Linked DNA regions of Kluyveromyces lactis. Each later gene encodes a partner of the first gene's protein in a complex. Links are inferred from orthologs where the notes say so. Each region holds a gene or a part of one and is shown in the gene's direction. Other genes may lie near its edges.

Evidence for each region. The genes of interacting proteins can lie anywhere in the genome.
Region 2: COQ4 (region 1) and COQ11 share a complex: the UniProt entries of both Saccharomyces cerevisiae proteins name them as parts of the multi-subunit COQ enzyme complex. The link is inferred for Kluyveromyces lactis from reciprocal best matches to the Saccharomyces cerevisiae genes COQ4 and COQ11.
Region 3: COQ4 (region 1) and CAT5 share a complex: the UniProt entries of both Saccharomyces cerevisiae proteins name them as parts of the multi-subunit COQ enzyme complex. The link is inferred for Kluyveromyces lactis from reciprocal best matches to the Saccharomyces cerevisiae genes COQ4 and CAT5.

What each region holds. Positions count from the first base shown.
Region 1 is NC_006040.1:1,586,890-1,589,845, forward strand, and holds COQ4 (ubiquinone biosynthesis protein COQ4), read left to right. Parts: upstream 1-1,444; coding exon 1,445-2,443; downstream 2,444-2,956. Other genes in the region: RAV2 (Rav2p), read right to left, coding at 1-1,067. UniProt on the Saccharomyces cerevisiae protein: Lyase that catalyzes the C1-decarboxylation of 4-hydroxy-3-methoxy-5-(all-trans-hexaprenyl)benzoic acid into 2-methoxy-6-(all-trans-hexaprenyl)phenol during ubiquinone biosynthesis.
Region 2 is NC_006037.1:400,436-403,295, reverse strand, and holds COQ11 (ubiquinone biosynthesis protein COQ11), read left to right. Parts: upstream 1-1,499; coding exon 1,500-2,351; downstream 2,352-2,860. Other genes in the region: KLLA0_A04433g (translation initiation factor eIF-2B subunit), read left to right, coding at 1-834; KLLA0_A04389g (SUR7/PalI family protein), read right to left, coding at 2,521-2,860. UniProt on the Saccharomyces cerevisiae protein: Component of MIOREX complexes, large expressome-like assemblies of ribosomes with factors involved in all the steps of post-transcriptional gene expression. Component of a multi-subunit COQ enzyme complex required for coenzyme Q biosynthesis.
Region 3 is NC_006041.1:223,671-226,048, reverse strand, and holds CAT5 (putative monooxygenase CAT5), read left to right. Parts: upstream 1-1,158; coding exon 1,159-1,869; downstream 1,870-2,378. Other genes in the region: PHO92 (mRNA-binding phosphate metabolism regulator), read left to right, coding at 1-636; FRQ1 (frequenin), read right to left, coding at 2,230-2,378. UniProt on the Saccharomyces cerevisiae protein: Catalyzes the hydroxylation of 2-hexaprenyl-3-methyl-6-methoxy-1,4-benzoquinol (DMQH2) during ubiquinone biosynthesis.

The sequences.
Region 1 (2,956 bases):
TAACTTAAATTTTGAATATTTACAAAGTGATTGCTGATTTTGTTTTCAAGCCCGTTCAACTTTGCACTGACACTAATCAATGTAGGATCGCTGGTGGTAATTGAAACTTTCTCGCATTCAGTGACAACTCGCCCGTTAAATGTCACACACCTAGCCAATAGATCGCTTGCTTGCGGAAGAGTGATTCTTTCAGTTGCTGAAAAACTGGATATCAAATTGTTTATCATAGATGTTTGTTCAACTTGCAAGCCTTCTTCCTTAAGGATCTCTGCGATTTTTCCATTTCTGTCTTGCTTCAGCCTGTCTCTGACTTTATCACTGAATGATAACCCAGTTTTCGAATCGATCTCACTCCAGGGTTTTTTAATGACTTTTGTCAAATTCCTAATGTCCAAGCAAATCTCGTTTTTGAATAGCACTAATTCCATATTGACCAAATGATGTGCTGATTCACAAATGTCATGAGATTCAGAGAAGTTGTCGTTTAAGAAGCTGTTGTTATTATGCGGAAAGACCAATTCTCGTGGAGGATTTTGTAATAATGTAATAGATTGTGTAAGTAACTCCAATATTTTCCCAATTTTATTGTGAAAAGTATGAATATCATCAAGTTTCATATCGTGTAATTCGGAAAGTTGCTGTAATTCGTCAAATAAGGACAATACGGATGATAAATTTGTAATTATGGCATTTATTTGAACTAAGGGAAATTGTTTATCAAGGTCCATCTTTAGAACTATTGGTTTACCCCTGCTAAAGTCTGGAAGCTTAATGATAGCCTGAAAATCCACTATAAATCCGGCCTGTCTAGTGATTGTCCCTTTAATCGATGTGCTGTCTGGCGCGGCACCTGATGTGTTAACGGAGACACTATTCCCATTGGTAAGAGGCATTCGAAATTTCTCAGGACTAGATAGTTGGTTTATGCATTTCTCAACATGGTCCATAACGTTAGGTAGCTCAGGCTTTATGATTTCTTTAATCAACCATGTCTGTTGTAACAAAGAGCTCTCCTCATATGTAGGAGCATTTTTATATGCCCCATCATTATATAATTCCGTAGTCATCTCGGATTTATGCAATTGAGAATTAATGTAGCAAAGCTCCCTTAGCGTGTAGATAGCAAGAGCCTTGCTAAGATGGGCGTTTTCCTTTGTCAACCTTTTTACTATTCTTTTGCCTTTTTCGTATGATGATTCTTCTGAATATTTCAAATTTAAACCTTTTCTTGAAGTTGATGCGACTCACCCACATATACTTTAACTAGAGATAAAGGAAGATCATTGAAAATTGTAAAGTGGTTGTAATTGAAATTGCTGGCGTGGATTAGGATCAAGGTTTACACAGATTCTAGATTTGACTCAATTGACGAGTTGTACTCCGGGACACAGCTTTTTATTATTAGGGAAAGTGTGCTATTAAACGCATCAGACGACGACCGCAAATGTTTACTGTAAGTAAGAAATCCTTACAAGCAAGTCGTAACGCTTTCAGTCCATTGAATAATAGCAAGAGAACAATCGTATTTACTGCAATAGCAGCTTTTGGAGACCTATTGATTGGGAAAGATGTTAGACTAGCAGATGCTATGGAGAAAGGGAATCTGCATAATAAAAATGGAGAGTATGAGCATAAGATGGAACAAAGGACTCAAGAAAGGTTAAATGCATTACGAAACACAAGACCGATAGAACCTAATTATGAGGGTCATGTTCCACTTTGGTGGTATGAGCGAATGATGCTCTTCGGTATCAGTGGTTTAAAATCTTATTTCCACCCGGAGAACGGTGAGAACATCGTTCAATTAGGAGAAGCTACTGCTCTACCTTGCTTTCTTGAAAGTTTAAAACGGACAATGTTGTTAGATAAGACTGGTAGAAGGATTCTACAAGACAGACCAAACATCACATCGGAAAGCCTTGACATGGAACGATTGTCAAAGATGGATAAAAATTCAGTTGGCTATACGTACTACAAATGGTTGATGAAAGAGGGGGTCTCTCCAGACACAAGGGCACCAGTTACTTATATCGATGATCCTGTCCATGCTTTCATATTTAAGAGATATAGACAATGCCATGACTTTTATCATGCAATAAATGACCTACCAATCATAATCGAAGGTGAGATTGCAGTTAAAGCATTTGAGGCATCAAACATTGGTGTCCCAATGGCTGCACTTGGTGCTCTATTAGCACCATTGAGATTAAAGAAAGTGCAAAAGGAAAGACTTTACTCCATCTACCTCCCATGGGCAGTCAAAGCAGGGCTGAATTGCAAACCTCTCATCAATGTCTATTGGGAAGAAATCTTGGATAAGGACATAGACGAACTAAGAAGAGAATTAAACGTCACACCACCTCCAGATTTGAGAAAAATTAGAAAGGAAAGAGCGAAACAAAGAAAACAGTTCAAGCTTAAGTATGAGACCTACGAGAAATGAATTTTAAACCCTCAATCCCCAAATCGTGATGGCTGGCGTAAAGTTGCTTTGTAAAGTATAATGCAGGGTCATTCTGTGGATATAGGAACCAGGAAAAAAGAAATAGAAATACGTACGTAATGAAATAAACGTCTTCAATTGAAGAGGAAAAAGATCGCCTTTGCTTGATCGATTAAAAAATATATCTATAGCTAACATCCTTGCTACGTACAGTACCACTGCCTACACTTTTATTTGCTAACGCGGTATGTTAAACAATTATGATCGAACTTCAGTACGATGTCCTCTTTCCCTCGGTGTGCTTTGCAGCCTTAAAACTGTTCTTTTTTCTTATCACTGCGTTTAGCGGCCAAGAAGAAGAAAAAAAAGAACAAAGTTAAAAACTATCCAATTTAAGACTTCTGACCAGGGCATCTCATCTCACCCCATAATAAAAGAGAAGCAGTGTCTTGTGAGGGTTTTAAGCGGAAGGGGAGGATAATCTGATATTGAACATACAAGAATCTGTTACTT
Region 2 (2,860 bases), on another chromosome or scaffold:
ATGATCAGAGACGAGACAGAAGAAGAACAGACTAGTGCTGAACCGATGATATCTTCAATGTTCAATTTATTACAGAAGCCTATGACTGATACGAAGACAAAAAAGGTACAGGATAACAAACTAGACGTAAGGCAAACCATTGTTCAGTCAATTCGTGATCTTATAGATGAAATTAAAAATATCGATGAAGGTATTCAACAAATAGCTATTGAATTGATTCATGATCGTGAAATCCTACTTACCCCTACTCCAGACTCTAAAACCGTTCTTCGTTTCCTTCTGAAGGCTAGAGAAGGTAATAATAGAAATTTTACTGTTTTAGTGACTGAAGGATTCCCTAACAACGCAACCGTGGCTCATGAATTCGCTAAAAAATTAAGTGAACATGACATTGAGACTATTGTAATCCCTGATTCAGCTGTATTTGCATTGATGTCGAGAGTGGGGAAGGTCATTATAGGAGCTAAAACCGTTTTCACTAACGGTGGAACGATATCTTCGACTGCTGGTGTCTCCTCTGTATGTGAGTGCGCAAGAGAGTTCAGAACACCTGTATTTGCCGTTGCTGGTCTTTATAAACTTTCTCCATTATACCCATTCGATGTTGAGAAGATGGTAGAAATTGGAGGATCTCAGAACGTATTGCCTACAACTGAGAATGATAGAGTAGGTACCGTTGCTTTAGAAACGATAAATCCAATTGCTGACTATATTCCCCCGGAAAACATCGATATTTATATCACCAATATTGGCGGCTTTGCCCCAAGTTTCATATATCGTGTGGTATGGGACAACTACAAACAAGAGGATGTAAACCTCGGGGAAAAAATATAACGATCCATGCATGTCTGAAATAGATTTAATTTAAGATACGATCTGTTCTAAGAAACTCAGCATTCATTGTTGCATATTTCTTATTGATGTATCTGGTAATTCAAACCTTAAACATCGATTCTTGTTCTTATAATACCGATGCCCTGTGCCTCGCTCGGTTGAATGTATCTGAAACTTTCAATCTTGAGCTGGATGGTTAATGTTTATTGTTCAATTATGAATTAACGAAACATTTATGACTAATGGGCCACATCGAGTTGACTTCTTTTGAGTACGAAAAGGCCCTATTTTGAAATCAATGACCTTGACCCGTAATTAGAAGTTCACACATTCTTAGATAGTTTACCAGTAGATGCCTAATTTGGCTCATAGCTTTTTGTTGAGAAACAAGGGATCCTCTTCTCAACCGCAGCAGTATTCAAAAATTATTTGAAGGATTGATCCAGGTTCCATTCTTGATAATCGATAGTGGAGTATCCGCTCCTTATTCTCGTATCCTCCTTGTAGTAAACTAAATTTAACTTGAGCCAGTGCAGTGATTGATGCGACCATCATGAACTCTGGTCACGTGACTTGGTTGTTCCTCTCCACAAATGCTTCTGCGAAGTTGAGATTTGCCGTTTCAAAGCTAAAATGATGGTCACTCCGCAACTGACAATGAATAAATGATGAGACGCATTGCTTTATCAAAAAGGGTCCTTTGTATACCGGAAGCCATTGATATGAGTCGCAAATTGATAGTACTTGGTGGTACTGGATTCTTGGGGAAACGTATCTGTGAAGCTGCTGTTGGAGCAAATTTCCAAGTAGTTTCACTATCGAGGTCGGGAAAGGCTACTTCATCTGAACCATGGGCAAATGAAGTTGAATGGAGATCTTGTGATATTTTTAATCCTGACACATATGCACCAGTACTTCGTAATGCCACTGATGTAGTTCACAGTCTAGGAATACTTTTGGAGAATGAGAATTACAAGAAACAAATCAATGGTTCGTTTTGGTCGGTACCGAAGTTATCGTTCGGAGGGTTTGGTAAGAACCCATTGGCACCAAAAAAACCTGAGAGATCGAGATTTACATACGACATGATGAACCGTTATAGTGCCACCTTACTTGCAGACACTTATATGAAGGTGAACGGTGGTCAAGCTCAGACTTTCAGTTACATTTCGGCTGACAGAGGATTCCCATCAATTCCAAGTGGATACATTGATTCTAAGAGACAGGCCGAAGAACACATTTCCCAATACGGGAAACAGATAAGGTCCATCATTTTAAGACCTGGGTTTATGTTTGACGAAAGAAACTCTGAATCGGATGGAAGAACGCAGATTCGTAATTTCTTGCAAATGTTGAACTGCGGTAATGAAATGGTACTTAGACAAAAGATACCGTTTGTCAACGACCTTGTGCGACCATTAATCTCTACACAGCAAGTAGCACACTCGTTAATATTAGCATTACAGGATCCCAACTGTGAAGGGGTATTGACCTTGGACGAAATGCTCAAGATGTAAGAGAATGTATCTTTTATTTAAAACGTGAGAAATAATATTACAAAAAGTACTTTATTAATGAAGAGTTATAATAAACATGCGATGAGATATATGTTCCTTTTCTAAAGAAACAAATGCAGTATTGGGAAGGAACCAGTCAAAAAGGGTATATAGACTAGGTGATATCACTTCAGAGGATCTCTCTCTTCGAAGTTTTCTTTTTCCAAATTTCGTTTAATTCATCCGGATCTCGTGGCTCTGTCATCGGGACGCAAACGTCCACTTCTCCTTGCAGCTTGACGAACCTTCTGTAAGATAAATCTCTAATCATCAGGCAAAGTAAAATGCCACTTAAGGCCACGAAGAATGCGCTAACTAACATCAACCAACTTGACCACGTGACGTGGGATGCAAACATTAAAACGTCAATAAGGAATCCCAAGAGGGAAACCATGAAAGTGACCATGGACCAGCCCACGGCGAAAAGTAACACACTCTTTGAAGTGTTTAACCATTTAATACATATTAGA
Region 3 (2,378 bases), on another chromosome or scaffold:
GAAGAATCCTTTGATACAAGCGGCGGATCTAGTTTCATAGAAAGTCTAATGTCAAACATGGATGGTTTTTTCTCCACAGCTTCTACCATAATGGAGTCTTTATCGCCGCTGAAAGAGTACACTACTGATTATTCGAAAATAGAGAACCGTGAGTCGGTGTATGGGATCCCACATGGTTCTAAATTTTTTGTTATCAAGTCTTTCAACGAAAGAAACGTTAAACTTGCACTACAAAATAGTGTATGGTCTTCGACACGCAAAGGGAACAGAAGACTTGAGAGAGAATACCATAGTCTTGCACCAGGTGCTAAACTTTTCTTATTATTTTCTGTTAACAAATCTGGTAAATTCTGTGGCATTGCAGAGATGTGCTCGGATCTCATAGAAAATGATCCTCGCGCCAATATTTGGGAAACACATACTGATTCGTACACTTTCCCACATTTATTCCAGATAAAATGGTGGTATGTGAACGATGTGAAAGTGCGTAGATTCAATCATTTGGTTTGGGAAACTGATGGTGAACAGAAATCATTGGGCCATGGACGTGATACAGAAATTGTTCCGTTCAATATTGGACACGAAATTGTTGCTATTTTCCACAACTCATATACTAAATCGTCTCTACTATTTTAAATCTTGTTCCAAGAAAGGTCCCTAGAACTTTGCGACGGTTACACACGCGGTGACTGAATGTAATATAGCTAATGTATATAGTTGCTAAACTAGTAACTATATGATGGTGAACTTCCGGTATCAATCGCTTGGGTTACATTTCAAAACCCCCTTTAAAGGGTTTGGGAATGGAAACTGTCTCTACTAGGATCCACATCGAATAGCTTCCACTTGCCAGAGGTTTAGGTTTTACTTCTTGCACCTGATTCGATGACAGCATTTCTTCAAGCCACTGGCGCAAAATCGGGTAACCCAATAATATTTCCTTATACTGACAATCAGCAGATCATGGTGAAAAAGCACAACTTTGATATAGAATAAAGGTATACTATATAAATGGCTGGGGTATTGCTCTTCAAGGTTTAATTGTACAAGCAGTTCTTCATCAGGACAAGTATTTGTTGGTAAAGTTTGGCAGGTTAATCGCTATCTTACACTTCAAAGTTTCGCCCTTTCAATTGGCTTTTGGTATCAAGTTAGCGAATGCTTCGTACGTGCTGTAGGAGAGCCGTCCCGCTAAGACAGTTTTCGGTCTTATCTACCTTGGGCAATAGTAGCAATGCAGGGGAGCATAGAGCGGAACCTAATGAGTCTGCTGAATTGACCAAATTCAAGCCAATGTCAGACGCTCAGCTAGCATATTTGGATAGGGTGGTTAGGGTGGACCAGGCTGGTGAATTAGGAGCAAATTACATTTATGCGGGTCAATTCTTCGTACTTGCCAATAGATATCCACATTTGCGCCCTGTGTTGCAACATATGTGGGATCAAGAGATTCACCATCATGATACATTCAACAATTTACAGCTGAAAAGGCGTGTGAGGCCTTCATTATTGACACCGCTTTGGAAAATTGGAGCATTCGCAATGGGTTCTGGGACAGCTTTCTTGTCACCAGAAGCGGCAATGGCATGCACGGAAGCTGTCGAAACTGTTATTGGGGGGCATTATAATGACCAGCTTCGCTGTCTCAACAATCAATATGAATTGGAATCAGAAGATGGAACTAAAGTTGGACAAACTGTAGAATTGAAAAATTTACAAGCTACTATCAAACAATTCAGAGACGAAGAATTGGAACATTTGCAAACAGCTATTGATTACGATTCGCATAAGGCAGTCCCATACATTCTTTTGACGGAGGGGATCAAGACTGTTTGCAGAGTTGCGATTTGGGCAGCGGAACGTGTGTGAATGGTTGGCCCTTCTGACAGTACGCTAACCCTTTCTAATGAACCGTGATGAATACGTGATAAGGCATATTTGGTTTTATATATACAGATTGGAGAAGTATTATAGTATCGTATACAAACGTATATATTACACTGATGATATAGTTACACCCATACACGTTGGAAACTAACGTAAATCAATGTTTCAGGAAGAGAACCGCATGCTCCATTATCAAAAAAGAGCACATTAAAAGAAACAGTCAGTATGAATATGACTTTAAGACTAACAACTTCAAGCCAAAAAAAGTGCCCCCGCCTAATTGCCGTGCAACCGTTGAAAACTTACACTAAGTAAGTTGTATGGAAGCAGGTTACACAAGGGTCATACCAATCCATCATAAAGATTCAATGCCCCTACTATAGATGGATCGACCTTCGATCCGTCTCTAAATTCATCTAACGTAATACAACCATCTTTGTCTTTATCCATAAGCCTAAAGATCTTTTCTACCCTTAACTCTGGAGTAGCTT